Linked DNA regions of Saccharomyces cerevisiae S288C. Changing the gene in region 4 together with the main gene of any one other region gives a genetic interaction. Each region holds a gene or a part of one and is shown on either strand. Other genes may lie near its edges. The genes, in order: YJL070C, RIM1, APA1 and DAN4.

What was found.
Region 1: mutations in DAN4 (region 4) and YJL070C together harm fitness more than expected from each alone (negative genetic interaction), as found in Saccharomyces cerevisiae (2 studies listed by BioGRID).
Region 2: mutations in DAN4 (region 4) and RIM1 together harm fitness more than expected from each alone (negative genetic interaction), as found in Saccharomyces cerevisiae (2 studies listed by BioGRID).
Region 3: mutations in DAN4 (region 4) and APA1 together harm fitness more than expected from each alone (negative genetic interaction), as found in Saccharomyces cerevisiae (2 studies listed by BioGRID).

The regions. Positions count from the first base shown.
Region 1 is NC_001142.9:303,773-312,385, forward strand, and holds YJL070C (metallo-dependent hydrolase superfamily protein), read right to left. Parts: upstream 6,866-8,613; coding exon 4,199-6,865; downstream 1-4,198. Other genes in the region: JEM1 (Jem1p), read left to right, coding at 1-1,346; DNA replication protein PSF2, read right to left, coding at 1,449-2,090; ARG2 (acetyl-CoA:L-glutamate N-acetyltransferase), read left to right, coding at 2,360-4,084; UTP18 (Utp18p), read right to left, coding at 7,150-8,613.
Region 2 is NC_001135.5:170,576-177,162, forward strand, and holds RIM1 (Rim1p), read right to left. Parts: upstream 2,866-6,587; coding exon 2,624-2,865; intron 2,541-2,623; coding exon 2,375-2,540; downstream 1-2,374. Other genes in the region: FEN2 (Fen2p), read right to left, coding at 311-1,849; SYP1 (Syp1p), read right to left, coding at 3,251-5,863. UniProt on the Saccharomyces cerevisiae protein: This protein binds preferentially and cooperatively to single-stranded DNA (ssDNS). Involved in mitochondrial DNA replication. Stimulates PIF1 helicase activity.
Region 3 is NC_001135.5:35,517-42,807, forward strand, and holds APA1 (bifunctional AP-4-A phosphorylase/ADP sulfurylase), read right to left. Parts: upstream 3,286-7,291; coding exon 2,320-3,285; downstream 1-2,319. Other genes in the region: LRE1 (Lre1p), read left to right, coding at 349-2,100; YCL049C (uncharacterized protein), read right to left, coding at 4,270-5,208; YCL048W-A (uncharacterized protein), read left to right, coding at 5,972-6,211; SPS22 (Sps22p), read left to right, coding at 6,649-7,291. UniProt on the Saccharomyces cerevisiae protein: Ap4A phosphorylase catalyzes the phosphorolytic degradation of bis(5'-adenosyl) tetraphosphate (Ap4A) into ADP and ATP. Can also use other Np4N' nucleotides (where N and N' stand for A,C,G or U) as substrates with equal efficiency.
Region 4 is NC_001142.9:709,474-718,899, forward strand, and holds DAN4 (Dan4p), read right to left. Parts: upstream 6,268-9,426; coding exon 2,782-6,267; downstream 1-2,781. Other genes in the region: DAN1 (Dan1p), read right to left, coding at 1-234. UniProt on the Saccharomyces cerevisiae protein: Component of the cell wall.

The DNA.
Region 1 (8,613 bases), 400 kb from region 4:
CGTTAGCTGCTGCTATCATTTTGGATTACGAAACAATCCTCGACAAGCATTTGGCTAGCTTAAGCATAGATACAAGACTTTCGATTCATTATGTCATATCTGTTTTACAGACCTTTGTACTTAACTCAGATGCGTCGTTCAATATAAGAAAATGCCTTTCCATTGATATGGACTATGATAAATGTAAAAAACTAAGCCTGACTATTTCCAAATTGAACAAGGTGAATCCATCAAAAAGACAGATCCTGGATCCAGCAACATATGCATTTGAGAACAAAAAGTTTAGAAGTTGGGATAGAATTATTGAATTTTATTTGAAGGATAAGAAGCCATTTATTACACCAATGAAAATTCTTAACAAAGATACAAACTTTAAAAACAACTACTTCTTTTTAGAGGAAATTATCAAACAATTGATAGAAGACGTTCAACTGTCGAGACCTTTGGCAAAAAATTTATTCGAAGATCCCCCAATAACCGATGGTTTTGTCAAACCAAAATCATACTATCATACCGATTATCTAGTATACATTGATTCCATTCTTTGTCAGGCTTCTAGCATGAGTCCGGACGTCAAGAGAGCTAAACTGGCTGCGCCGTTCTGTAAAAAGAGTTTGAGGCATTCACTAACACTAGAAACATGGAAACACTATCAGGATGCTAAGTCCGAGCAAAAACCTTTACCTGAGACGGTATTGAGTGATGTATGGAATTCCAATCCTCATTTGCTGATGTATATGGTAAACTCAATACTTAATAAAAGTAGGTCTAAACCTCATTCACAGTTCAAAAAGCAATTATATGACCAGATAAACAAATTTTTCCAAGATAACGGCCTCTCAGAGTCGACCAATCCATACGTGATGAAGAACTTCCGATTATTACAGAAACAATTACAAACCTATAAAGAGCATAAACATCGGAATTTCAACCAGCAATATTTCCAACAACAACAACAGCAGCAACAACACCAACGACATCAAGCACCCCCAGCAGCGCCTAACTACGACCCAAAAAAGGACTATTATAAAATTCTTGGAGTATCGCCTAGTGCTAGTTCGAAAGAAATAAGGAAAGCATATTTAAATTTAACCAAAAAATACCACCCAGACAAAATAAAGGCCAACCATAACGACAAACAAGAATCAATTCACGAAACTATGTCACAAATCAATGAAGCGTACGAAACATTAAGTGATGACGATAAAAGGAAGGAATACGATCTTTCCAGATCAAACCCCCGCCGCAACACTTTTCCTCAGGGGCCTAGGCAAAATAACATGTTCAAAAATCCAGGAAGTGGCTTCCCATTCGGAAATGGCTTTAAAATGAATTTTGGGCTTTGATGAAATACATTCTATGCCCATTAACTAGGATACCACAACAAGTACATATATATACATACGCATATCACTGAAAGTTCTAATTATTGCAAAGCCAGCACTTTTTTAAATATTGAATTCTTCTTCATCATTTTCAGTACCAGCGGTAAGAGATGCTGTGTGAATTTCTCGCAGTTTATCCATGATTTCAGTAATGAACGGCCTCAACTCATTGATTTCTAATAGACTTAAATTATCCAATTGTAAATGAGATTCATTCAAATACTTAAGGCCTTTTAACACTTTGATCTGCCTTATTTCCCTTAAGTCTTGTATTTTACCACGTAATTCGTGAATGGGGTCATGAAAATCATCCTTAGCTTTATTGAAAAGTATACGTGCCAAGACAAGCCAGTTCCACGGCAACTCACTAAACCTATCCGGATGAGTTTTCTCATATTGTATTTTTCTATCAAGCTCTTTCGTCGTTAACCACTGTGGTGCTACAATACTGCACTTGGATTGTTGCTTCAGTAATAGAGCGATCCAAAGAACCACTTCTGTAGAACGCATGGCTACCATATTATTTAAAGCTTTGTCATCTGTAGTAATAAGTTGCCAGCGGGTGTGGTTTCCAGTTCCTCTATCATCGCCACGAATTTTTTGGCGTGTTGTTATTCTGGGAAAAATCTTTATTGGCTCGTTTTCCACAATGAACTGTATTTCTTCTGGTGAGAAAGTCTGCTGCAAATGTGCCGGTAGTGACATGCGTCTATGAAACTAGTCTTATTTCAGATCAGCCGTTGATCCTCTCTAAGTATAAAACTCTTTTTTGTTAACCATTTCATAGTTACACTTTAGGCGACTGATTTTTCATTAAATGGAAAATATCACAAGAAATTTCACGCTGGAGAAAAAAAAGGTTAGTCATCACTGATCTTCCCATGGAGTCATAAGCACGTTCGACATAAATTGTGAAAGTTAACACATTTGAAGCTAGGACCGTCAATCTAGGACACTAGTCGGTTACTTTTATCATGTGGAGGAGAATATTCGCGCATGAACTCAAGTATGATCAACCCAATGCATCTTCAAAAAACTTGATCCTTTCAGTTCTGAATACAACCGCTACAAAACGAGAGGCTAAGGATTATCTCTCAAAATATACAAATGATAGTGGGCAGCATAATCATTGTTTGTTTTTTATCAGGGACCTGCATAAAGTCGCACCAGCGATTTTGTCCCAGTTTTCAAGTGTCATAAAGAGACTAGGAATGCTAGGTTTGCGACCTATGTTTGTAATTCCGCCGTCGCCAACTCATGTAAATATACAGGCAGAGTTACTTGACAGTATCGTTACAGAAGCAGATTTAAAGCCACTTCACCTTAAGGAGGGTCTTACTAAATCCCGCACTGGGTTATATCATTCTGTTTTTTCGCAAGAGAGTCGTTTCTTTGATATTGGAAATTCCAATTTTATACCAATTGTGAAACCTTATGTGTATAATGAAGAGACTGCTTCAGAATTCATGACAAAGGATGTTGTAAAATTTATGGATTGCCTGTGCCAAGGGAATATTCCACACATTGACAAATTCTTCATTCTAAATAATGCCGGAGGTATACCTTCGGGAGAGAGAAATGATAACGCTCATGTATTCATCAATCTTTCTCAGGAACTCGAGCATTTGTCCTCGTCATTATCTCACAATATAAGCACTCTAACCAAACGAGAGCCACGCTCCCAAAACCTGTTACACAGAATGGAGGTGTACGTTAAAAAAGATGAGATATCTTCCTTAGAATGTGAATACCATGATCATTTAGAAAACCTGTTATTGATGGACAAAGTTTTATCAAATCTAGCGGCTACAGCAACGGGACTGATTACAACTGTCAAAGCTGCCGCACTATCATCAGATAGGAAAAATCCTTTAGTATATAATTTATTGACAGACCGATCGCTAATTTCTTCTTCTTTACCAAGGTTTAAAAAAAAGGACGGCGAGATAGACTCACCAGCCAACATGTTTGATGATCACGCATGGTATGAATTGCCTTCCCAACAGGTAAATGCAGCTCCTTCTAACTCAGATGCAGTTTTAGTGACAACTGTTCTCAAAAAGGGCGTCCATATCAAAACTTATGACTATAAGACGCTGACTCAATTCAACTCAATTGGGCTTCCAAAGAAGTTTCACGTACCTGAGAAAGGAGCAAAACCCTCGAGCAATAGTCCAAAACTAGATATCAACAAATTTAAATCCATCATCGATCAGAGCTTTAAAAGATCTTTGGATTTGCATGACTACATAAAAAGGATTAATGGAAAAATAGCTACAATTATTGTGATAGGTGATTATGAAGGCATTGCAATTCTTACCTATGAAGGCTCGGAGGAAAATTCCTTTGTTTATCTCGATAAGTTCGCCGTTCTACCACACTTGAAAGGCTCGCTGGGTATATCTGATATAATCTTCAATTTGATGTTCAAAAAATTTCCTAATGAGATACTTTGGAGAAGCAGAAAAGACAATGTGGTGAACAAGTGGTATTTTCAACGTAGCGTTGCTGTGCTAGATTTGTCGATTGACTTAGACCCCGAACACTGTGATGAAAAGCAAAGCCAATTTAAACTATTTTACTACGGTAACCCTCAATACGCTAAGAGGGCACTACGTGACAAGAAACGTTTAAGAGAATTCATGAGGTCTGTCAGGGACATCAAGCCAAGTTGGGAAAATGAAAAAAATATTTCATGAAACAAAGACGCATTCTCCTCCTCCTTAACTTTCAAGTTTTCATTTTCAGTTTTTAAGGTATCTATATAAATATATATATCTTACTATGCAAAGTTGTTGATATTTCACTTTACCCTACCAAATGGAGTTAATTACTCCAAAGTGATCCCGAACGAAGTTCCACTCTTGATCCAATGTCTCCTTTCTATATCTTCTTCTAATCATCGGAACGTTGTGCTTTATCGAGGTATCTTTCGCTGTATCGTACCAATTATCTATCCCACCCACGTTCTCCTCAAAGTAAGGCGCCTTTTTAACTCCAACGCCAATCCAATGAGCCTTGTACCAACCTTCATAGCCACTAGATAGCACACTTGTTCTCGACAACTCGCACAAATCTGTTGGGTTCAGCAAGTAAATACTTGCTGCTACACTGTATTCTTCAATGAGAGGTTCTAGCGTGTATGAACTATTGTAAAGAATCGATTTTGATGATAAAGAAATTTTTAGTCCCATCTTAAACATTTTCATGAAAGGATTTGTCTCATATGATCTTTGTTCGCCCACAGTGATATCTCTAGAAGGATTGATTTTGGCTGTTTCCTGGTCTTTCAAATAATCATGTTCTAGAAGCACGTTTTTATTCTTCAAAAAGGTCGATTTTTGCGAATTCAGTAATGAAACAGATGATAATGGCGCAGCTAAAATGGGTATTTGAAAGAGATAAAATAAATATTGAATCATTGTTGCAGTATCCCAAAGCGGTTCTACCTGTAGCAGACCACCATTACAAAGCAGTAAGTTGCACACTAACGATTCAACTTGATCTGTAAAATATAAATCCACTCCAAATTGGGAAGTTCTGCTGGATAGTGGAGAACAATAATTTCTTAGGGTGATTGTATTTTGAAGATTTTGTGACCGCAGAAAATTAACTTTCGCTAAACTTTTATAAATATAATACATGTAATGCGCAACAGTTGGATTGTCACCCTGTGCTGTCCAAAATTTTGGCTTACAATTCATATCAGTAAATTCTTTCCAGTAATATTCATCCGACTCTTTAATGACCAGATCCATAGAACACACATTTGATAAAAAAAACTGCAGACCAATGATATCAGTATTTACAGATGAATCTATTGGTAACTGCTCCTTTTCCAGAGTGAATAAAGGATTGAAGATAAGATCCAAAAACTCCTGGAAATTTGACACGACATTTTCCTTGAATAGTTTGGGAAAAATCCTGGCAATTTGTATATTCCAGCGGATATTATACGATACTAGCTTCCATCGTAGCAACCATTGAGAAAATTTCTTGTACCAGTCTTCACCACTGGAATAGAATTGAAAATTAACTGATACTTGGGCCAATTGGTACTTTGATTTTTCGAGGATATGAATAACGTATTTTATGAAAATTTCTGCTAGGTACTCACCTTCAATGAAATTATCAAACTCCAGAAACACTTTGGCTAATAGGTAAAACCTCATTTCTTTGCCGACCAACTTTGCTACTTTGTTAGGAGTTAGATGGTAATCTATTAGGTAAATATTTCTATACCAATCCAAGAATTCATCATCAATCAATTTCAACCCAATCGCAATGGGTTGGTCATTAGAAGAACAACCAAACTGAAAAATGTCTCTCAAACTGAGTTTCCTTGACGTTTCCGGGTCTTGATAAACTATCCTTTCAGGTTCTAAATTTATTTTCTCCCATATATATTCACTCAATTGACGTTGAGAAATACAACCACTTAAAGACAAGTCTCGATCTACCTTACGAGAATTATAAAAATCTCTGTAGGGAACATTTTTATTAGCTAAAATTTCTTTCTTAGAGTTTAGGTACTGAAACAATTCAAATTTATCTAATAAATAAGATAATCGCTTTCGTGAAACCTCGTTGAATTTATGAGATTGGATTAACTCTATTATGTATGCAAAATCATCCCTAAATTCTTGAAACGTAGGCACATCTGTTAAAAATTCTTCCTCTAGTGACTCCTCCTTACTAGAATAAGGTGAAAGTGGGTTTTGCGTATTTTCCTGATTACTTAAATGGTAAATGTATTGTTTTTTGTAATCCTCTAAATCGAAATATTCACCGGTGTATGGTACTTTTATATTTCCTTTTCCTTTCAAACCAGATTTTGTGTAGTAGTAGTAGTGATCGGTAAAGTAACTTGGGTAATAGTAGCCATGGCGGTGCGGTGTAGCGGCTCCGGTCCCAGTACTGTCTCCATCGTCATTTAAGTCAGAGTCAGAGGGATCTTGGAATCGTTTATCGTCTTCAAATCTCCAAAACTTTGGCAGTGGTTTTGGGTATAAAAACCACTTTTCAGTGTCATTTTTTATGTTTGAAATGCCATCTTGTTTGGAAGCAGCAATGTATCTTTTTCTCATTTGAGAAACCAATTCAAACGGATTAATGAAAAGATCTTTAGTTTCTTCACCCGTTTTCAGATTTGAGGGCGTGTACGATGAGACAAAGCTGTCACTTTCTCCATTTCCATAATGATGGGAAACTGAAGGAAGTGGATCAATTTTGTTTTCTTCGTCTTCAAGATCGAAAAACATAGGTGAACCTAAAACCATTTGCCTGTCAAATTCCGTGGGCAAAGAAATCATATCCATATCATCGACTGATATTTCCTTCTGTTTCAAAACAGATGGGGAGACATCACCGTCATTCTCTGACAAGACCCTGGCTTCTTTATTCTTCGTCTCATTAGGCTTAGTAACAGAATTTTGATATTCGTCAAAGAGTAACGAGGGCCTTCTCTCTACCGCCTGCATAATTCCCAGCGAGATGAATAAGTAAAGTGAGATTTAGATAACTCTTACAGAGGATATTGAGAGGACATTTTAATCAAATTCTTTAAACTCAATGTCCCCTTTTTTTCCATATATTATATTTAATTTCTCGGACAATTTTTCATTTCTGACTATAAATGACAGCAAGAAAAAAGTGGGCAGAATCATATTCAATTTCAAGTTTCTTCGCAATTTTTTTACAGTGATATTTTGTGTATGTATTTGTACATTGCTTTTAATATCTAAGTTTGTCTATAAATGGAAATTTAGTAGTGGTTTAATTTCCAGAGCCTCACTTTACCTTGTTCGTTACCCACGGCCAGTAGCCCACCAGATGGCGAAAATGCGACACTGGTAACTTTACCCAAAGGCGTCCCGCTGGTAGGCCAGTTGCTGAACACGCTACAAGAAGGCAGATGAACTAGTCTCAAAGCATCCTTGACTGCACGGGATGCCATGCACAGTATTTGACCATCAGGGGAAAATTGTAGATTAGAAATGGTAGTTGTTAGCTGGTCCAAGGCGGCGACAGGTGTAGGGGTCGACGAGGTCATAGCATTATTTCTATCGTAAAGATTAACAAATCCACTCTCACTACCTACCGCAAGCCACCTATTTTGCTTTATCTTACTTATTTGAAGAGCCGGACAAGTAGTTGTTGTCCCACCACCAACTTGGATTTTTGTTATACCCACGCCACCTTGGTCTTTCCATCTTCTTATAACATGGCCATTCTTATTCAAGTCAAATTCCCACACTTCACCATACGCGTTTACAGCAATTAAAATGGTCCTAAACTTACCACGTGAAATAGGTTGATAATCGATACAGAAATCCGTTATCACACCTTCTATCTTGCAGCCCATTAACCATAGTCCGGAAGTGGAATGTAAAATGTTAATCCAACCATTATTACCCTGTAAAAGGACAATTCCATGGACAGAATTTGTTTGTGAATTCTGCAAATGTGCAACTTTGAAATTCTCAAATGATCTTTGAGTGGACTCATGTCCATACAATCTGGAAAATTTTTCGATTTTGGCAGTCTGTGAATGAGTTAAATTTTCTAAGGATAAGTCCCAGGAATGCATATATCTTCTTCTACCGGCGGTGAATATATTTTGTTGATTTTGGTTTGATAGAGAAGTATAGAAAGTACATGTTTGTATTGGAGACCCAACCAGGTGCAAACTTGTCACTAGATGGTTCGTTTTCCCGTCAATATGATATATTCTTAAGGTCTTATCATACCCACCCGTTAACAGTAGAGGCTTAGAAGGATGGAATGAAAGAGATTGTATGGCGGAATGAGACGGGTGTGATGCATTTGCATCTTTAAGACGCACAATGTCAAGTTTCTTAGGGGGTAATAGTTTGGAATTCGATAAAGTGTCTTTATAATTGTAAGTAGTAGACAGGATCTTCGTTAGAGCATTAATATCTCCATTAATAACATTATTAGAGCCTTCTTCTTCATCGTCTTCTTCGTCATCTAATTCAGAATCAGATTCATCGTCCACCCATTTGGGCCTTGGATATATCTTTTCAAACTGAGATCTCAATCTGTTGATGTAATGAACACCGTTGATTTTGGACTCGTTATAGGAGGTTCTTAATTTCTTTGTCTTATTGGTAACAAGAATAGGCACTTTAATTTTTTCATCATCCGAATCTATCCAAGCAGCTTCTTCAGAGTCCTCAGAATAATCATCGCTTGAAGAGTCATCTTC
Region 2 (6,587 bases), on a different chromosome or scaffold from region 4:
TTAACTTCTACCAAGAAGTAGAAAATAGCAGAGTGCGTGAACGCATAGCAGAGAACAAAATACTTACTAAACCTTTTCGAATAAGTTAGCAAGAAGCTTTTAAAAACATAGACTTAGAAATTGTCCTGCACTTGGCAAGGAAGAAAAGAAAGATTAGTTAAACAGAAATCGAAAAATGCATGATGAAAAACTAAGTAGACCTCTTTAGAAGTGTCTTAGCGGCTATTGTTCATGATACTTTTGAAAAGAGCCCTGAGATTTTCCATTACCATCAACAGGACCAATGAATAGCTAAAAGAATCGAATGTATCTATCGGAAAGGATTTGAAATTTCGGCCATTTCCTCATTATGAAGTTCAACTTCCATACTCTCGTCGTCGCCATCATTTTCATTATCCTGGTTGTCGTCATCGTCATCTTCTCCGGGCATGTCATTAGCATCTATATAAGGAACCTGTTTCTTAGACAAATTCTCTTTTATCTGTAGTGAGCGTATGACGACCGAGACAATTCCGCTTGATATTGCCGTAGCCAAGAGGGCGTAGCAACCTCTCTCAAACTTGGGCACCATATCTGAAGCAAAGAATAATATAGACCACCATGCGTTAACGGCCCCTGAAAACATATTCATGGAAGCAAGAACGATAGCACGTTCTTGAAGATCTGCATGACAAATAATGTTTGCCCACGAAAAAAAAACCGCTTGTCCAGCGTATGCTACGCCTCCAAGATACTGTGCAGAAAAGACGACTTTTGGATTTAGTGGGTCTGCACGTATTAGTACCGCAACAATAACCATTACCAATGATATGAAAACAGAAACATGCCAATGCCTAGCTCTTGGGATCTTACTCATATATACAGCAGAACAAAGCGTAGAAACTATACCTACGGCAAATATCCCCGAAGGATAATTATTTCTTTGCGCCAACGTATATTTTTGGTTTTGTAACCATAATGCAAATGTAGAATTAGATGCGAAACCCAAGTTCTCACCTCCCAGAACCCAAACAAGAGAGAACATCCACCAGTGCCACCTTTTTAAGACTCTAGGAATAGTCGACCAGTCTAACCGGGTGCTTTCGTCCCTAGCGGGGAGCCTTCTCCTAGCATAATGTAGCTCTTGTTCATTAAAAATGTATCTCGTCATAGAAAATTTGCTAACAGCACTTGTTTGATCAGGAAGGCCGGGGAAGAAAATAAACCCATAAATTGCAATGGGTAATGTGATACAAAAATCAATAATGAATAACCATCTCCAACCCGCCAAGCCATTCCGCCCATTCAAATGAGTAAAGATACTTGTTTGCATAAATCCACTGAACATAGATCCCACCAAACCGCTACCTGTAAAAATAGCACTTCTAATGGGCAATTCGTCTTCTTTATACCACGAACCCAAAACAAAATGTGTTCCTGAAAATGTGCAACTCTCAAATAAGGCTTGAAAGAATCTAATTGCGCAAATATGTTTGAACGATGTAACTTTGTACATTCCCAAGGTCAATAAACCCCAAGCAAACGTACAAAAACTTAGCCATATCCTGGGCGGAACACACAATAACATTAAATTATTGGGGACCATACCTACAATGTAACCAATCATGAAAACTGTGTTAGACACGGTCAAATCGTTTCCGACCATCTTAAGATCTTCCTTCATACCGGATATATATGCATTGGTGAAACCGACACGGTCGACATAATTAATCCAGTATTGCAAGCAAACAAATGATAGCACAAACAAGTCTATTTTAAACAGAAGTAATCTCTTTTTAATGGCACGCTTGGAAGAAACAGATTCTCTCTCAACCTCATGTTGAGTGATAGATTTCGATTCCTTCATCATGACTTAGGCCCAGGCTCTCTCCAATCAAAAATTCTGAAAACAGCTTCTCAATCTTGAATAAATCGGAATACTTTTATATCAGAATTACAGGTCCGCCTCATTTCTCTTAAGAGCCGATGTCTTCCTTTACAATATACGCATGTAGAAGATTTGATCGATGCTGAGTTCTTGTAATTCGTCAAAAATGCCTTTCAAGATCGACTACTCAAAATCTACAATAATCGGACTGCATGGATCAATGGAGGTGTAGGCAATTTTGTAACAATGAAGGATATGTTAAATTCGCTAAAGCTTCCTCCTCTTTTGCTAAATTTCATCATCAAAAAGCATTTTGCATAACACACGTTAACCAATATATTATAGTATATATACATTCTATTTGAGAATAAGCATAGTTTTACATAACTAGTTCGTTATTCCAAATGTATTTTTCCTATTTGCCATAAATATTTTAAGTAAAAGAAAGCATGCTCTAGATAAAAAATATCGAGGAAGAGTCGAAATAAGCAAGCGTAAATATTACAATTATTCTGAAGAAGCAGCATTTTCTTGGCCCTCAGCATCTTCTAATTTCTTCCCATTCTTCAATAAATTAATGTCCTTTTGAACTAAGCTCAAAGTAGTACCCTTAGAACCGTCGTCTCTCTCGAAGACATAGTTAGCAGCATCTGCTTCAACATATACCAAAGCGCTGAATAAATTATGGAAAGGAAATGTTAGTAAATTATAACGCGTAATTGTAAAGTAAGTAAAATTGAAGAATAAATAACATACCCTTTTCTAACATATTCTGTCAAAAAATTGATTTGAGGTTCATTGAAAACGGTGATATTATACCAATTGGTTTGGCCATCTCTTCTTGGTTGCGAAGCGATACTATATTTCAAATAACGATTGTTATTAGCAGAAGTATGTTCAGTGAATTCAGAGCCAATGCGGCCGACGATGGACATTTTCGAGAAGTCCATCTTCTTGGTAGTAGCATGGAAGAAACGAGCTTGAGTACGTAAAAACATTACAATGGATTAGTGGATTTTTGTTTGTTTTGTATTTGTCAAGGACACACAATTAGCAAATGACTTGTTATCAAATTCGTGGTATTTGTCTTTCTCAACTACTGTGTTAGCTTTTTTTTTTTCGTCTGGGCGCAAACGCCTTTTAAGCACTCCTCCACAAATAATAAGTATTAGATGAAAAGTCCTAAAAGTCCGAAAAATGGAATAGAAAAGAACGAAAATACAGAATCTTTACAGAACATTATAGTACATAAGTGTAGTTCTACGTAAGTCTTAAACAAAGGTTTCAAAAGGAAAATATGATTTAGCGGCGCCACCTCCATAAATTATGGATTAGCAAACAAAAGAACAATTAATATTGAAAAATAGAAGCATAGCAGAAATATCAAGCGAGACCATGGTAGTTACCAGTGGTCAAAGTTCTTTTTGTGTTTACATCGAGCCACTCACCACCAAATGGATTGTTTTCATCCAGCTCCTGACAAGTCAAGGTGATTCCACTGCCGGCTCCGCTATGGGGTAGAGCCACGTTATCCGTCTCACTGATAGTGAATTTGGTAATCACGCCTTTAGCGGATTCATGTGCCAGGCCGTCTGTAATAAATCTGGCGATTAATCTTTGACCTTCACCATTTCTTGTCAAAACAACTGGTTCTTTAAATCTCCACGTTATTCTCTTCTTTTCTTTACTGAAGGAGCCCTGAGGTTTTGATAAAGCGCTTGTTGCATTAGCACCATCGATATTCACAAAGACAACGAGGTCTTCTATTACGATTTGTGATATTTCATCGGGTAAGCTTGGTGACATCTTGACAGTCAATACAACACTTGCCTGGTGAGATTCAAATCTCCAGACCGGATGAATAACAATAGGCGCGATCGGCTCCTTTATGGAATATTTAATAGCTCCTAAGGTTCTAGAATCGATAAATGAAGGGTTAACTTTGAATTCTTCTGGAGCAACACGCTCAATAAAGGCTTGGTTCAGAATGACCTTTTCGAACTTAGCGCCATTATTGATTCTCAAATTAATACCGATAGGTAAAGGCGAATTCATGACAGAATTGGGTAAATAGTTGAGGGCAATTTCCCCAATCAGTTGGGAGTTCTGCAACATACCGTCTTTGAAAGAAGCATTGAGCACTTCTGCGATACTAGCATTCAACCCAAATTGAGATGTATCTAAAGAGGAGTGCTGAAACAACGATTGACCAACTAAAGATGTTGAAGAGCCCGTGGCTTGAGGATTTAGTTCTCTTAGCTCGCCAGTAATCTGAGAGGAGAGTGTGGAAACTGGACGTTCCTGGGGAATAGAGGACAAGGAAGAAGAAGTAGGGGTAGCGCCTGAGCCGTGATTAGGCAAAGAGTCATAGAGTTGAGAATCCCTGTTATGAATGAAATTTTGTTTCCTTGAGGGTGGTAAAGCAGGTGCGCGGATATGCAAGGGCCTTGAATCAACTTGACCTGAAGGTTGGTTATCAACCGTAGCAGTAGGAAGTGAAATACTGGGAGAGGCAGGCTCAACTGGTAATGGTTTTGTTTTTGATTGTGGCTGAAGTGGAGGTTGAGAAATTGATATCGGTACTGTCTTGGGTAAGTTACTTGAGTCTGGTTCTTTCGCAGTGGGTGGAGAACTTTGTTGTGGCGTTGAAGGAGGCACTTCAGAAGGAGTAAAAGTTTGCGCAGGTGGTGTATCGGCAGTAACAGGTGCATCTACGTTTTTAGGAGTAGCATGGGGAGGAAGAGGAGGAGTGTCACTAGCTTCACCCGGGGTCCAATTGTTTGATTTTGATGATGAATAGGTGGGTCGACGTTGCTTCTGATAAATAGAAGAAGTTGCAGTTGAAGACACTCTGGTGGAAGAATTATTCGGAGTCTCAGTGATGGATGCCTGAATATGAGAGTTTGATGATGATTGTTGTTGTCTCTTGTTCTTGGTCTTATTTCTACCGAAAATTGAGCCCACTTTAGATCTTAGGGTGTGGGACGACTTTTTTGATTTCAAGGAAGAATTATTAGTAGAGTCTGAAAATTCGTTATTCATGAGATCATTATGAGTGAGACTGGAAGATGCAGAGGCAAGACGATGTCCAATGTTTCCAAATGCACTCTTACGCTTATCCTTTTGTGGGGATTTCTTTTCTCTTTCCGTATTAGCGGCACCATTGGATACAGAGACCGGGCGGGCACCAGTGGCAGAAGCTGGCGAAGCATTATTAGGAACTACTTCTTTGGAAGAAGAGGATAGTTGGAAGTTGTATTGACTGGCATCTTTGGCAAAACGATCAATTTCACTTTGCGGTTCGAATGCCAGGAATTTCGTCATCACCGTTTCGCATTCTTTGGTAGTATTTAGTAAATAATCGCTAAAACTGGTTTGAAATCTAAGCATACAGTTTTTTAAAGTGTCCAAACGGTTATAGTCAATAGTCTCGAACAGCTCAAACAAATAGGGGCTTTGCTGGTCCCATTGCCTTCTTGCCTCTTCTAAGTGACTAGAGTTTTCGTTATTCTTACTATAGTGCTCAATTGAAGCTGCATTTTTACTAAGCTTGGAATGTAAGTCCTTGCTTTCTCTCCAGCTAGTATTGTTCTCCACGGATTCCTTCAATTCACGAACGACTTGCTGGTCCAAAGTGTTGTAGTATTCTGTACTTGACTTCAAATCTGATTTTAGTTCTTCAATTACAGTATCCCATACATTTCTTAGCTCTCCCAGCGAGTTGAATCTGAATGCACTCATTTCCTGCGGAGTCAAAACATTACTTTCAATCATTTGAGCGTTTAAGATCTTTGTTATATCTTCATTTTCAGCTATTATTTTTCTCAATTGCTGAGCATAGTTCCTCTTCAGATTTGCCAATTCCTTAAATAACAGGTAAAAGTCTTTATTCAACAATTTGACCTGCGATAACCTGATTCTAATAGTTTCGGTAGCCTCGTAAGGACTCTTAGTAGTCAATATGCTATCTGCATATTTGGTTCTTTGTTCCGTCATGAGAGGTGATTATTCGCAATTTTCAAATAAGCTTGCTTCAATACGACTACAGCAAAAGTAATTCCTTTATTAAGGCAATAACTACGAGACCTTTTCTTTGTATTTCGTGAAAACTTGAATGCAATATAGAGTTTTTCAATCTGCAAGTACTTAAGGGGCCCTTTTAGCTACACATAATATAGAAATGAAAGATCACGGGCTACGAAAAGCCATTCATAATCATATACAAATATCACCTGTAATATATAAGAATATATGAGCTATTGATTTTCTTCTACCGCCTGATTTAGTTGTTTTCACTCTTCAAAACTAAATTCAGTATTAGCGACAGTGGAGGTGCTAGTACTCTGTAAATGAAAGTAAACGCTGGTATTCATGTAGAGCACCAACCTGACTGTGAATGCGTAAGCTGAAACATGATAGCCGCCTGTAAAATATTGTTATCAATAAGTAGACCGGCTTACACGAATAGGATTCGCTTTATTCTTTACTCCCCACTCAACCCTAAGCAATGTTCAAAATAGTGTGAGATTATTTTATGCGCGCCTCCTTCAAAAAAAAATTTACATATATAACATAGGTGGAAAAACTTCCCTCCGATGTCTAATAAGTTAATCAATAGAATGAAATGGACACGAAAAGGCGTAGACATGGAAGATGACAATGACGAGAACGTCATTTTTTTTTCCACGTATTTTAAAAAGGGGTAGCCTGCTTCACCAGA
Region 3 (7,291 bases), on a different chromosome or scaffold from region 4:
AAAAAAAATAATCATCTTTTATTACATGTGTAATACTTCAAGCAATCATAAACAAGAGTTAAGAAGGCAAAGTTCTGCTGTTAGTGTGTCCTCCAATACTCTTGCACGACAAAGTTTTAGTTATCCCCTTCTACGTGTATTGTTCCTCCGTGGTCGATTGTGTTCAAAGATTGGGAGCTCTTTTCGTGTTTTGCACTAAGAGCATACTGTTAATCCGCAAAGGCCACTAAAACTTACCTGCATTTGTCTACTTAAAGATACATTCCAACTATTTACATTCATTTTTATTTCTAAAAGAGCATTCTGAACCCTCGGCAATTATTTCATACTCCTTCTCAGAATAGGAAAATGCCCAATACGCATACTCAACATGTGCAAATATCAGAGCCAAATCCTGTAAATACTTTGTCTACACCATCCAAAAGAGGTCACCGCCATCGCAGATCGCTAGCAATATCAGGAGATTTTGATTTTTTGAAACAGCCTGCAGCAATTGTGAATTTACCACCTCCACAGGCGGCTGAAAATTGTCCTTCAACTGCCCCAACTGCTGTATCAAGTACATTATCGCCAATACGCTACAATAGATTTCCTTGCAAAACCAATGAAGACGCTGGAACGTTAGATTTGCCTGAACCAAGATTTTATCCGTTATCACCAAAGAACAATCTGCAAACACCAAGTCCACGATTTTTCATTAGTGAAGAGCCAAGTTTTTCATCGCCAGTTAAAGGCGTCCCAGATGCCATTATTAACCTTGACGATGCGTTGAAGACAAGGCCTAGGTCATTTAAATCACATAGAAGATCTGAATCCGCTCCTCCTGATTTGGAGGTTATGGTAGATAAGGGCAATTGTGCAGCCGGTTCTAACTCTATGATTAAAGAAGAAGAGGACTCCTTAATTGAACCAGAATCGAAAAATGAATATTATGAGCAAAAGCTTCCAACAGCACTATTATCCCCACTGCGGCCTTCCCTTTGTGTATCTGAACAGGCCATTGATGTAGATGATTCAGCTCTCAATGGGTCACCGACCCATCACAACCATGGGATGCAAAACGCCAATGCACGGAATTCCAACACATTCAATTCGTTGAAGATCAAAGGCCAAAAGCAAAGATATTATCATTATACGAAGCAGCTACCTTTGACCGTAGGCTGTGACTCGCAATCTCCAAAAGAACAAAGGTCGGCTGCTTCAATGACAATCAATCAGGCAATGACACCTTCTTCCCTGGCCTATACCCCTTCTAAACTAGCATCTACTCCCGCAACACCAGTATCCTTTTATGACAGCAATGCGGACATTAACTTAGAAAGTGATAATTTTCCACTAAAAGATAACCCTAGATATGCCAAGGATGGTTATCCTAAAAAGTGCGGCAATTCACAGCTTAATCGTGTGCTGGATAGCGATAAAAGACAGGATTTTAGTGGAGAATCGAGAAGAAGAAGATCGGGCAGTCCTATCTCCCACATGCAACACCGCAACCTGATTGATAATATGAAAGGTAGACGAAACAGTAACACGATAAACTCAATCTTCAACTACAAGAGTCAACATTATGAAATGCCATATGATGATATGATGAAAAATGAAAACATTAATGCACAGTCCATGCCCTTTTCAGTCAACGGTGTCAACAATGAAAATAGTATCGGAGGGGTTATTACGAGAGCGGACGATGCACCCCTTCAACACTCTGTGGTCAAATCCTGTACGCCTGATGGCAAGGAAGAAATGAATAGGCTTAAAAGTAATGACAGTAATGAATATTCCAAGTCTGAAGGGCAGATCAGAACCAATTCGCAACTAAGTAAGGACATTCTCATGGGTGAACCAGGTGATATGGTTGATCTGTCCTCTTTTGTCAACGCGCAGAGAAAAGCCTCAAATGAAACTGGTGACTTAGTCTTTAGTTTATCCCAGGATGATGACGCACTGAAAACGTTCCATGCGAGCAACAGCGCAGCAACAAGCAATGAAAGCTGGTGTATTAGCGATGATGCGTTAGGAAAGCAGGCGCAGGACAGTGAAGTTAGGAGGAAAAGAAAATCCAAATTAGGACTCTTTAGACATATTTTTTCAAGGAAGTAATACAACAATATTAATAATAAGTAATAAAAAGGTGAATCGTAACCTTAACGGCATTGATTGCATGTAGTTTTAATAATAAAGTGTAGAATAATAAATATAAAATTTCAAAGTCATCAGAAATAAAAATTGAATAGACATATACATATAGAAATTACTTCTATCATTTAAATACATATATATACATACATGTATACGTGTATACTTGTACTTGTGAAGGACTCAATAGTTGTATTCGTTTGGTTTTTGACCAGAAGTGTTTGGGAAACCACATTCCAATAAGATATCGTTAATCAATTCAGGTTTTTCAGTAATCTTGGAGAAAACTTCATCATTTTTGGTTAAGATCATACCACAATAACCTGTGGAGTTGAAACCTATCTTCATTTCATCAGAAAAGGCCTTCGAGCGTGGAACGACACAGATCCATTCCTTGGTTAACATAAGATTGTAGGATTTCTTTAGTTCTGGATTTTCGTTCAACCAGTCCTGGAAAAAGGTCAAAGCTCTTTGCAATATGGAGATGTAACACATAGCTAATAGGTCTTCATCAACAGTTTCTTCAGACTCCGGCATTGGCAAGACAAAATGAGCGAACGAGACTTTAGCATCTTGCAAAGGTTCAGTATTGAAAGTTGGTAGGAAATGTTCTTTACCATTACATAGTCTATCTTGGAAAGTGACGAACTTTTCAGGCATTTGCAGAATTTGCAAATGTTTGTGGTCCAATGAAGAACCACTGGCTGGACCAGAATTGTAAAAGACCATGTGTCTCTTGTCGGATTCTTCATTGTCCAAGGCACACAGCAACTTATAAGCAGTCAATAAATCGGTTGGGGTCAAGGCATCAGTTTGATGTTGGTATTCGTTAGTTACCAATAAAGTGTGTTCAGGGATTACAGGGAATTTGTTTAATAGCAATTTATACGCTTTGTTATCGGCACCACCAAATTCTGGGATAACCGTTAATTCTTCCTCAGGTTTGCCTAGTGGATCCTCTCCTTCTGGAGTTTGGCCACGCTCTGGCTTTTCGATCAGACTTGGCATGTGACTAATCAAGTATGGCATGCTGGTTTTTGGGTCCTTTGTTTTCGTTGTTTCAGTCTGGATAAATTTTAAGTTACCATTATCGAAGGCACTTTTGTACTTGTCACTAATTAAAGATGCAATGTCAGCGGGGATACTCATTTTTATTTTAATTTTTACTTTTCTGTTTGTTCTAAAATCTATCTAAACTGGCTTTCAAGATCAATCTATTGTCTTTTAAGGTAAACTTTAAATTGGAAATAATAGTAATGTTAGTTCCTTCATTTTAACCTTGTATTGTATTTCCTTTGCGTGATGAAAAAAAAACTGAAAAAGAGAAAAATAAGAAAATCTTCTAGAACGTTCCGAAACAGGACACTTAGCACACAAATACAGAATAGGAAAGTAAAAGGCAATATATGAATGCAGTGCTTGTAACTGGTGCTTGTATCCAAGAATAGCTTCTTGCTGTAGGTTATGGGAATATCGTGTAAGCTGGGGTGACTTTTGAGCTATTCGCGACGCCCGACGCCGTAATAACTACTTTCGACAGACCACTTATGACAGTATTTCAGGCCGCTCTTATAAAATGACATGTTAACAAACAGTTCTGATTATTCGCCTTTTGACAGGACGATAATGTAAATAGTTGTGGTAGTATCATTCAGGTATGTAACTGTTTACTTTGTATCGCTTGAAAAAAATAAGCATTTCAGAGCCTTCTTTGGAGCTCAAGTGGATTGAGGCCACAGCAAGACCGGCCAGTTTGAATGCTCAACTCTTCAAAAGAAATTCCTCAAATATGTCCAGTTTCATGTACTGTCCGGTGTGATTTATTATTTTTTATTTACTTTGTAGTTCTTAAAGCTAAGATTTTTTTCTTTGATAAATTCTTGTTTTCATATCCTAAAATTAAAGGGAAAATAAACAATACATAACAAAACATATAAAAACCAACACAATAAAAAAAAGGATCAAATACTCATTAAAGTAACTTACACGGGGGCTAAAAACGGAGTTTGATGAATATTCACAAGATAAAAATCATATGTATGTTTCTGATATATCGATATACAATCAAACACTTTCAAGAATTTGTTTGTAGACTTTTTGCTAGAGACCTCATCAAAGTGCTACCAACTAAGATCAACTTATACTTCTTTTAGAGAAAATTTTTTTCAATGTACTCCAAAGAGATTTAGATCCTGTCTCTTCCTCTTCCTCTTCCTCGAAAGTCAAAGAAAAATCAGAGTCTCCCTGCTTATTCAGGCGGAGAGGCTCTAGGGTAGTTGCGTTTCTCTCATTGGGACACTGAACCTCATTTTCCAACATTTTGGTCATGTAAGAGGCGACAGGCTCATCGCAGGTGGGTGCATCAACATGGTAGTACCTGGACCAAGCGCTACATTGAGTCCCTCCTGGATAAACACCGCTACAATATTGTCTTTGGACGTTTGCCCAAACCATATCTTTTGAATACCAAAGCTGGACCACATTGTATGGCCTAATCATTGGTGCTACCATAATACTGGATTGGGAAACAGTCTGGTTAATTTTTTTCAACCAATTTTTCTTATCTAGCAATGATTTAATAAACCTGAAATCTAAATTGTCTTCGTTAGCGTCTGTGTCATAATCTACAATTGAGTACTGTGACGTCCAATTATATGGCACCGAGATGGGGAATCTGTCCGGTGTTTCGTCGCTGTTATCCTTCTCCTCCCTCCAAATGCAGTCAGAGGCAGGTGCCCATTCGGTTCGCCAGTCTCCGTTATTTACTACTTGGTACTGTTCCCAATCGTAATACGTTTCCTCTGGGTTGAAGATACTTGCTCTGCTCTTGACATTGCCCATAGCCACACCACGAGAAACATCGTGGAAGATTACGGAGCTGTTTACGATAGCAGGAGCAATGGATTTGACGAATGACACTTGATAAAAGTCTTTGGTCGAAAATACAGTATCAACGCCGTCGTGGGACTCGACCCCTGGTAGAAGAAGCAGAGCATCTAGATCAACGGTAGATGCTGCAGAGGTCAAAGCCACAAAGAGGGAAGATGCAGTTACGAGGTATTTACTAAACATTGGTTCGAAGTGATTACAGATTTTTCTCTCTTGAACCCTGGAATTGCAATAGCTTGGTTCCTATTGGGACCGGACCCTCTTGCGTAAAGTATATATTTAGAAGCAGCTATTTAAATCTGAATGCAAGACGAAAAAAAGCTCGTTTATAGGAGAAAAATACCAAAAAAAGGAAAACCATACACATTCGGGTATCCCAGCTTTGCTTGCAAAATCAATCGATGAGCAAGACAAACAGGGCCAGCTGATGCATATGTTTTGTGTTGCTTTCCTACGATCAGCTAATGCGAGTGTTATAAATATTCCCCTAGTTTTCTTCTCCTCCTTTATGTAACAATAACTTGTGGACTTCCCCAACATAAGACTAAAAGCAAAGGGATAACAAGGGATTTATCTTATTCCATCCCTTTGCCTAGCGCACTGTTACGCAGCTGATCTTATCAACAAGTGTGGTTCTTGCCTCTAAGATTTACATTGCCTTTTCCCAAAGGGAAGGTGGGACAAAACTCATTTTCCCTAAGGGGAAACGTAAGATACCCTTTAGGGAAGATAAGGGAAGTTAGTAGATTGACGACGTAAATCTGTGATGAGATGAAAAAAAAAGATTAGCATCTATATAAGAAAGTACATAACCTCCATTTAAGTTGAAAAAAATTTGTATGTAATGTCTTTTCTTCCTCTTTTCTTTATTTCATTCTCACCGCTAAATCGATAACGGCTAAAACAATTAAAGCTCCCTTTTCAAACCTTATACTTCCGTTAAATAATGCAAATCAAAAACATTGTCGCTGTTCTAGCTACAGTCACTGCTATCAACGCCCAAGTTGGCATTGAACCTAACGCCACTACTCCAAATGCTACGCAGCCAAATGCTACGCAGCCAAATACTACTCTTCCTACCGCTTCGGTGACTACGACAGTTTCGATTGGCGAAGCCGTAGTTAATACCATGGCGGCGGGTGCCTTTGGAGCAGCAATCGCTGCCGGTGTTGCCTTCTTATTCTAGGAACATTTTTATTTCCTTTATTTTTTTCTTTCTTTCTAATTCCATAACCGTTGTTCAAAATTGGGGAGCTTTTTAACTTTCGTTCCATTAAGCTTTTTCTTTGTTCTTTACGTTTGATTCTATTTCAACCATAATTTATTTTTTCGTTATTTAATAATTACTAATATTTAATACTAGATGTATATACGTTGTGTGTATGCGCTACTATAGTATAGCTTAACTGTTTTATTATACCCTTTTTTTCTCTCTTTACTGTACAGAAGATGCGTCACTAATTCAAAAAAAAAAAAAAAAAAAAAAATATAAAAAAGAAAGATTTTGGAGAAGCTATATCCTTTTGTGACATACAATAGAGAAACTTGTTCTGTTGGTAAGATATCTCATCTGAAATACAACAAGGAAAACCAAAAGCCATTTTTTCATTACTTGATCGACTTATGAACCGTATTACTAGGAAAAGTTGTTTATTCGCGATTATATTTGCATCATTATTTGTGACACATGCATTGGGTGCCGCTATTGATCCGCCAAGGCGACCACATAATGTGAAGCCTTTTCATAACGGTAATCTCGAACTTCAAAGAAGAGCAAATGAACCGTTTTTTGAAATAGATGTCAAGAGTCTGAACACAAACTCACCGATATCAGAGTTGTGTAAAAAAGATTTGCACGTCATTGAATCGTCTCATGATCTTTTTCATTTACAAAACCAATGTGAATTCATCTTGGGGTCATTAAAAGTCACAAACTATGATTCTAACATTTTGGATTTGAACAGCTTGAGGGCCATTGGTGGTGACCTGATTATTCAGGATTCACCTGAACTGATCAGAATCCAAGCCGGGAACTTGAATAAAATCGAAGGGCTCTTCCAATTACAGGGACTAACCTCTTTGGTTTCTGTTGAAATTCCAACTTTGAAATTTTGTCAGTCACTGGAGTGGAAAGTTGTTCCCATCTTGAACTACGTCTCCATGGATTCTCAGAATATTGAGATTATAAAGGATATTGTCATATCGGATACTTCATTAGCAAACATCGAGAATTTCAACAAGGTTCAGGAAATTGATACTTTCAATA
Region 4 (9,426 bases):
GAAATCGCCACCGGCAAAAACAGCCTTGGCAATTTCAGGTGGGTATGTTTCAGTCTTATGCAAAGCCTGGAAAGCGTAATATTCAGATAAATGGGCGCCAATATCAGAAACGTAAACAGCCAATTCAATCAAATTGACCCTTTCATCATAAGGGGATAGAGTGGTGGTCACGGATGCGGCGGTTGCACTTGCCACTAATGCTGCGGCGACAGCTAATATACTAATTCTAGACATTACTTGGGGTATATATTTAGTATGCTACACTTTTATCTGAAAAAGAAGAAATAGTACCGTGTCGACATAAAAATAGTATCATTTAGTCGTGCTATTTTATACGCAGTATTTTCAATCATTTCTATTCAATGAGTACCCAGGGACCCTTTTGCATTTCTAGCATTCTCTGTTCCTGAACGATGTTTTGTTAGAGGCCTCGTATAGATCTTGGCATTTTCAAAGGCACGCGTTGTATTGTTTTATTGCCTATCAAAGGAACGCGCAGGAAACATGAAACTTTTCAGAGGAGCGTCTACGGAGGATACATTCATCAATTTTTCCTCATAAATTAAACGATGTGTACAAAAAGGACGAATTGACCCCGTCGTTCGGCGAAACCTTATGTATTTTCCTGGCCATATGTGCTAAACGACAGATAAAATAGGAAATTCTCCCCATTTTCGACTAATAAGATAAGCGGGAGATAGCATCATATGAACTTTTGCACTCAAACGAAGAAAGCACGTGAGGATTGAAGAAAACGGATCGCCGAATCCAGCGTGAATTGAGCTCAACAATTTTTAACTATATCAATCTCTTTCACTTTAAACACTACCACTTAAATCTTTTTAAAACGCTTTGCCCAATGACCCTTTTTTTATTAAGGTTGCTGAGCTATTTTTTCTATACTATTGTCAAACTCCAAAGATATTTTGAGCTTTATTTTCTTGCAAACAAAATACCCTACTGCTTAATAAATGCAATGTATACATAGTTTTCAAGGTACATTATATTTTAAAGTTACCTCAGGCCTGTTTGCCCTTGCATTCTACAGTCCCTTTGTAAGGGTGTGAGACAAAAGGCCTCGTTAGCTACGACTGTTGAAATCGTTTGAATTCGGCTTACAATCTAACTTTGACTGCGCAATTGTTCATGAATTTATAGTGTGCTTGCGAGGGGCAACTTCATACGAAGGCTTGTAGGACCCCTAAGTGCATCCATAAACATGCTCAAAGATTGTCTTAGAAACCACAAGGAGAACGCACAGTATGAATTAAATAAGTTGCGCTCTGCTAGAATATTTTGACGATTACAAAGTCAGAGATCGAAACATTTCCGCTGTGCAACTAAGTAATTTTCCCAATCTTTGGAGAAAATCAATAATCACAAGATTAGTACTTATCCTCTTGTAGGCTTCTCTCTTTCGCTATAAATAGAGCAGAAAAATATGATACAGAAGGTCGAAAGTTTGCTTCGCTGACTGAAGCTTTCTGTCAAGAGTTGACAAAAACATACAAGATTCAGTATTGATAATAAATGGCCTGCACTTAAGACTCAACCATCCCAATAAGTTACCTAGTTGTGTTACCTAAGCTAGGAAAATACACATTGAAAGATGTTTTACAAAGTATTGTAAAGGTACAATGCATTCTAGGCCGAATGTTCATTTCGGATTGTAATATGTAGTCAACGATAACGAACCTCATGGTTATGGTTATTTCTGTTCCAAATTTGCAAAATAGATCTTCATTGTCGTTGTCGGAACGGGTGGTTTATAATTTTAGTAACCATAGTAACTGAATAAAGTGACCAAACAGTATACTTCATAGCTCCAGGCTAGGAAACAAGATACTACTGCGAAACTAGCGGAAGAAGTTACGTTAAAGATCTATTAATTCAATGTTAATTCAAATTTAATATACGTAGGGATGCGAGTTATTACATTGGAAATATAGCAAATCACTGAAATACCATCATTTTGAATACATTCGTCATCGCCGCATCAGTTATACGTTTCTGCTATACCGTATAAGAATACTTGCTTCTATTCTTAGTTATACTGAATTTTAGACATTAATAAACTACTAACGGTTGCTACTACACTACACTATTCTTCTACCAATGTCGATGAGAGCGAACTCTTCAGAAAGCAGTTTACTTGAATAAATTTTTTCAAAGGCCCTCATTTCTAATGCCTTGTGACCTAGAATTTAGCAGCGTCAACTTTATGGAGCGTTATTTCTCAATTCCATCTTTGTGCCGCGTAGTTCTATCTTACATAACTTTATTTTAAGAAGAGCTTTAGTTCATGTTCTTGGAAGAATTCCTTTTTTGACACGATTTTTAACCTAAAGGCTAAATTTTATTTAAACTAACAGTGAACAAAGTATTTAAAGCTTCATATGTGAGTTGTCGAACACGTCAATAAACGGAGGTAATAAAATGAAGGATGAGGGAAAAAAAAAACCATAATTTTAGGCTGAAGCCCATATTGTGATATTTTTAATGTTTTCTTAGAAAAATTAAAAAACTTCTCAATTAAATGTAAAATTTTACTTGTTGGCGATACCTTAGAGGATTCAAATTTAACTAGTGTTAATATACGAACTGGTAACACTAATGTTTAGATACCTGTATATCATACAAACCATTCAAAGTGTATAGGAGTATGTTCACAAACCGTAGTATTATGTGCTACATGAATCAAGTATAGATTTAAAATTTCTTTCAAGTCAATTTAAATTATTTTACAATTGTTTATATGCTTGTGAAGATTATATTGTATCACTATAGCAGTAATAAAGCGACAACAGCAACGATAGCGGTACCAAAAATGTTATCTTTATCGAAATTATAGGCACCGTTGGTATTGATACTGACAGTATAAGAAGCAGATGAATGAGCAATGGAAGTAGCCGAGGAGGCTTTTGGAATTGGTGAGATGACTTTGCTGGTAGCGGTCGCGATTGGTGCAGTTAACATGGTACAGGTTCCACCTGAGCAGTTGGTCACAGTAGTTTGAGTGATAGACAATCCGGTTCTGGTAAACATGCTAATCCCTGCATCGACAGTAGTCAGGGTGGTACAGGCACCCGCAGAGCAACTGACTTTAATCGCTTTGGGGATGGTCGACTCTGCATTGTTCGATGTAGTGGCTTTGGAGTTGAAACTACTAACCGGAGACATCAGCGTGGTGCAAATACCACCCGAACAACTAGTAATAGTAGTTTCCATAGTTAGCAACTCGGTTTTAGTAGAGGCGACATCTTCTTCATTATCTTCGCAACTAATGGTAGCGGTGGTAGTTGCTTCGCTGGTGATTGTAGTAACTGGAACAGTCAGGGTCGAGCAAACACCACCAGAGCATGTTGTTATAGTTGTTTCGACCGTGGAAGTTTCTGTAGTTGTTAATGTGTTCGCCTTAGCATTAATAGTAGTAACCGGAGACATCAGCGTGGTACAAATACCACCCGAACAACTAGTTATAGTAGTTTCCAAAGTTAGCAACTCGGTTTCAGTAGAAGTGATATCTTCTTCATTATCTTCGCAACTAATGGTAGCGGTGGTAGTGGCTTCGCTGGTGATTGTAGTAACTGGAACAGTCAGGGTCGAGCAAACACCACCAGGGCATGTTGTTATAGTTGTTTCGACCGTGGAAGTTTCTGTAGTTGTTAATGTGTTCGCCTTAGCATTAATAGTAGTAACCGGAGACATCAGCGTGGTACAAATACCACCCGAACAACTAGTTATAGTAGTTTCAACGGTAGAAACTTGAGTTTTCGTCAAAACACTATCTTCATTAGTACAACTACTCTTACAGCTCGTGATGACAATTTCATCTGTTGATAGGTTTGTAAATGTTGAGGTTGCATTACGAACATTTTCTATCGTGCTGAACAGACCGCTACTGATGGTGTTGGAACTTCTGGCATCACTGCAATTACTTCTTGAGGATACTAAGAGAGGGGAACTTGATGCAAAAGATGCGACTGACGATGTAGGTTCCATAGAAAATGAAGAGACGATCGATTGGGAAACAGTGAAAGTACTTAAAGTGAAACTTGACATATTTGATGACGAAAGATATAAGGAAGAAGTCCGCTCAGCAATGAAGCTAGTGGATGTAGACGTAATTGCAGTAGACGACTCTGGAGAGGAACTGATTTCACTGAAGGGAATATTAGGAGAAACTGAATCGGTAGAGCTAGTGACCACAGTTGAAGAAACAGCAAGTGGAGTGGAAGGCGTAGCAAAAAAGGTAGTAGATTGGGTAGAGGAGTTACCAGAGACATCAGATTTAGCAGAAACAGTGGATCTGGTAAAGAAATCAGCAGCCTTGCTCGAGGAAACAACGGCTGAAGTGAAAGTGGATGTGGCAGATAGACTTTCAGTAGAAGAAATGGATTCATCAGAAGAAGGTCCAACCAAAGAAGTGGGTTCAACTGATGAACTGATCCCGCTTGAAGTAAGTACTTCAATGGAAGAAGGAATCTCAGAAGAGGAAGTAATTACACTAGAAACTATTAGTTCACTGGAAATGGTGATTTGATTAGAGGAGATAGATTCTGCGGAAGTGGTTGCTTTACTGAAAGAGAGAGGTTCAGCAGAAGAGGTGATTTCACTGAAAGTAGACCCGAAGGAAGAAACAGGTTCTGTCGTGGTCACTTGACTAGACCTGATAGGTTCAACAGAAGAGGTGACTTCACTTACAGTAGTAGGTTCAGCGGATGAAGTGACTTGACTAGACCTGATAGGTTCAACAGAAGAGGTGAATTCACTGACAGTAGTAGGTTCAGCGGATGAAGTGACTTGACTAGACCTGGTAGGTTCAACAGAAGAGGTGAATTCACTGACAGTAGTAGGTTCAGCGGATGAAGTGACTTGACTAGACCTGGTAGGTTCAACAGAAGAGGTGAATTCACTGACAGTAGTAGGTTCAGCGGATGAAGTGACTTGACTAGACCTGGTAGGTTCAACAGAAGAGGTGAATTCACTGACAGTAGTAGGTTCAGCGGATGAAGTGACTTGACTAGACCTGGTAGGTTCAACAGAAGAGGTGAATTCACTGACAGTAGTAGGTTCAGCGGATGAAGTGACTTGACTAGACCTGGTAGGTTCAACAGAAGAGGTGACTTCACTGACAGTAGTAGGCTCAGCGGATGAAGTGACTTGGCTGGGACTACTTGAACTGATATATGTATCGCTCGTAGTAGTAGTAGTTGCAGAAGTAGTGAATGCGTTAGTTGTTGAGACACTAGAGGTTGTATGGTCAGTAGAAGCCGTAGATGTGGCAGGTGTAGTAAGACTGGCAAAAGTGGTAGAGGTTGTAGCAGTGGTAGAAATGACAGAGGATGCAGAGGCACTAGAAGTACTGAAAGTGCTTGAAGTTGTAGAGGTCGTGGGAGCGGTAGAAATGGTAGAAGTGGTAGAGGTTGTAGAAGTTGTAGAAGTTGTAGGAGCGGTAGAGGTTGTAGAAGTTGTAGGAGTGGTAGAAGTTGTAGGAGTAGTCGATGTGCTTGAAGTAGTAGGAGTAGTCGATTTGGTGGAAGTTTGAGAAGTGGTGGAGGTTGTAGAAGTTGTAGGAGTGGTAGAAGTTGTAGGAGTGGTAGAAGTTGTAGAAGTTGTAGGAGTGGTAGAAGTAGTAGAGGTTGTAGGAGTAGTCGATGTGGTAGAAGTTGTAGGAGTGGTAGAAGTAGTAGAGGTTGTAGGAGTAGTCGATGTGGTAGAAGTTGTAGGAGTGGTAGAAGTAGTAGAGGTTGTAGGAGTAGTCGATGTGGTAGAAGTTGTAGGAGTGGTAGAAGTAGTAGAGGTTGTAGGAGTAGTCGATGTGGTAGAAGTAGTAGAAGTGATAGTGGTGGTAGGAGTAGTCGAAGTACTAGATTTTGTAGTCGTTGTAGAAGTAGAGGTTGGGATAGCCGTGTAAATACCATCCTTTGAAAGCGCTGAAGAGATAGCCGGCTTTAATCTGGTAGAGTACCACGGAACACCAGTGATCATTCTAGTTACTTCATCACCCGAAATACCGGTCAATCGAGTAGTGAAATCACCGTAGTCAAAAACGGCTGCTGCGATTTCCGAAGGATATGTTTCAGTCTTATGGTGATTCCGGAAAGAGTAGTACTGAAATATGTGGGCTCTGATGTCAGAAACATAAACAGCCAATTCAATAAGGTTGACTCTTTCATCGTAAGGAGATAAAGTAGTGGTCGCTGTAATAGCAGCCGCACTAGTAGCTAAGGCTACAATTCCTGCTACGATGCTTATATTAACCATTGCTTTCTTCGGAGTTTTTCGGATATCGCAGATTCGACAGGAACTGGTACTTATTTCAGTTTGAGCATACTCTCAATACAGCCATTTACACAGGCCATTTATAGGCTTTCGAACCAAACAGCTGTTGTATAAACGAATATATTGGAGCAAAATCACTATCTTTGCCAATGCTTCTTGTTTTACAGTTCCTGAACGATGGAGATCTTAAACAGATCTCGTATAATTTTTGACATCTTTAAAGGCACGCGATGTACTGTCTTTTTCACCGCCAAAGAAATGCGCAGCATGTAAAAACTTCTCCGGAGAAAACGCCTACGGATGGGCAGATCGATCGAATTTCCCCGTGCCTAAATTGTTCTGCTCTTATTATCTGTGATTAAGTGACAGAACTGCAAAAAAAGTTAATTTGATGTCGTCGTTCAATAGACATTCACATAACTTTACTCTACGTGCTATACGCGCTACCAAACAGAAAGATCACTTTTTCCCAGTCAGTAGACACTGGGTCACTTGGGGTTTAGCACACTCGAAAAGGAGTAAATATGCTGCAAACGAGAATGTGCAAGCACCATTCAGAGGATCTTAGCTCGTAGAGAGAGAGAAGCTGTTTGTGCTATCCAATTTTGATCCTAGCGCTCCGAAAAAGGTCCGTATTAGGAAACTAGATCTTGTTAATTGAAATATCTCCTCATTTTTTTGCAGCCCGCCACTCAATGCGCTTTGTAACCTGTCATAGCTTGCACAGAGAAGTATCAAAGTCTACATGTGACAAAAAGAAAACCCAAATACTTCTTGGCTATGAATGTTATCGTTTGATGATAACATCCATTCCTCCAATTGGAAAATAATTACTCACGAAGGTTCTATGCATCCAAAGCGGAACCGTTGCTTTCATTTAATAGAATCCACAGAACTTTTAGTGTGATTTATACGAATTCCAAGGGAGACCTCGACGTGTGACTTGAATTAAGAAAAAGCCTTGCCAATCATAATAGTTCATATATGATAAACGGTCTTGATTCGGGTTCTTATAGCAACAGTAACGAAAAATCTCTACCCTCATAACTTAGTATTGTTGTGTTAGCGGTCATGAAATCTTTTGTATTTCCTTTAACATATCAGTTATATTTTCTTCACGCTACGTCAGCCCCATTATTGTGCCAACAGTTTACATCCTTTGCATTCAGAGGTGGTTCATTAGTCGCCTACAGCTGCCCGTTTGGAATGACGGCCCGTAGAGGACACGTTAATAGAAGACATTCCCCGCGATTCGACGAGTACGGCGCACTCTCAATGATTTGTAAAGGTTTCATATCAAACTATCAAAATATGCGGGGCTCTGCGTAAACAGAAGCAATCAGACTACATAAGGTCCTCAGTGTAATCTTACCGTAGGCCGATATGTCTTCCATTGTGAGAATTTCTCAACATTCTGTGGTTAATCAACCAAATCATGCGATACTAATGATCTTGACGGGCATACATAATAGAAGCTAAAAAAAAAAAACTAGCCTGAAGCTTATTCTGGGGCCCATATGCTCGAAATGCCAAATTTTCAAAAATCTAGCCCTACATGCACAACAAATGATTGTGCCTGCCTCCTGGCAGGAAAAGGGTTGATATGAAGATGTCCGGCGGCCTCTTAAACTTAAGATTGAAAGACATGCTAACCTTGTTCCGTTTTAAGGATAAAGAGGAGCCTCAATAAATGTGTAGTTATCCCTTGCTAATAAAATAGTCTTATTATCTCGCCACTATAAAAGTCGAAGTAAACAGACAGAGACATGTTCGATACTCCACTTGCACTTCGAAAAAGTAATTAGGAATCCTATATATGCGATGCTATCGTTAATCTTTTACCTTCGTTTCCCATCTTATATAAGGGGATGACGAAAATACCTTTCGGCTTACAAATCCATCTGTAACAGCTGAAAAAAAAAACCAGATCTGTTGATCAGTTGTAATCGTGTAAACGAGTACAAAAGGCCAGAGACAGCTTCTACTCCAAGCTTAAGATACGTATACACAAAAGATTTTTACTTGAAGGAGTAGAGCCGAAGCGTGTGAGTATGACAGCGCTGCGTAAAACATCAGAGACGTATGTAATCTTCTTGTCTAATCCATTATTGTCAATAACTCAAGCTATATTTACATCTTTAGCGAAGTCAGAAACTTATTGTCATCCTTTCAAGCCTCGCCGTTGACATCCGCTGTCAGCATCACCCTCACCTAAAGTGTTATTACACGAAGAACTGATTAAATACGCCGAGTTTGGGATGACCTGTTCTTACCCGTTCATTCCTTTTTATGGCACACTACGGTTAGTATACGGCGTTGGCCGTGTGATAGGGAAAAATAGGGTAGGTAATAGAGAACAATTGATGAGTTTTATGTAATTGTATTCGCGCAAAAATAAAAGAATATCAACAAAAAATTTTGATTCGTTTACTTCATAAAAAAAAATCCTAAAATTTATGAAAATGATTAAAAAAAGACATCCACTTCCCCATAGTGCTAAATTGGTATGGACGTTAAATAGCTTTTATCGTCGTTGGTTTTCAGACAAATGTGTAGCACCCTAAGTGTGAGATATCATATATTTCAGAGAATATAGCACCAAGTATCGTTATGCGTTCTGGTCCGTACCTGAGAGCTGCTCATAAGAATAGGCAAAAGCAAGAAAGAGTGTTCTGTCAGGAATTTTCAAACTATTTACAAGCTAGGAAGGCTATACGTAGTAAATAACAGCCACGATTCGACGTGGATAAACAAACATCTACGAAATCCCATTTTGGCATGAAAAAGTGGAGCAAGAAAGACTTGAGGTATGAAATACTTGCAATCTTTCACATCAACACTACTTTCAAGATGTTATTGCAAACAGAAAGTGCGATTCTCTTTCTTTCATCCGGGCGTTACAGATGACCATATCTTCAGTGAGGATAACGAAAGATAAAGAGTGCTGGCTCACATTAATGGAAAAAGAAATCTACCCGCTAATTGTGATGGCTCAGAGTTTCTTCTTATGATAAGGATGTTAGTTTATATCTTGACATGTGTGTTTCTATTGTACACCGTAATAGCAGATTAGATAAACGAGAGGTCATTCGTAAGGATGAAAAAATGAACATCTGTTTAACTTTCAAGCTTTCTACCATA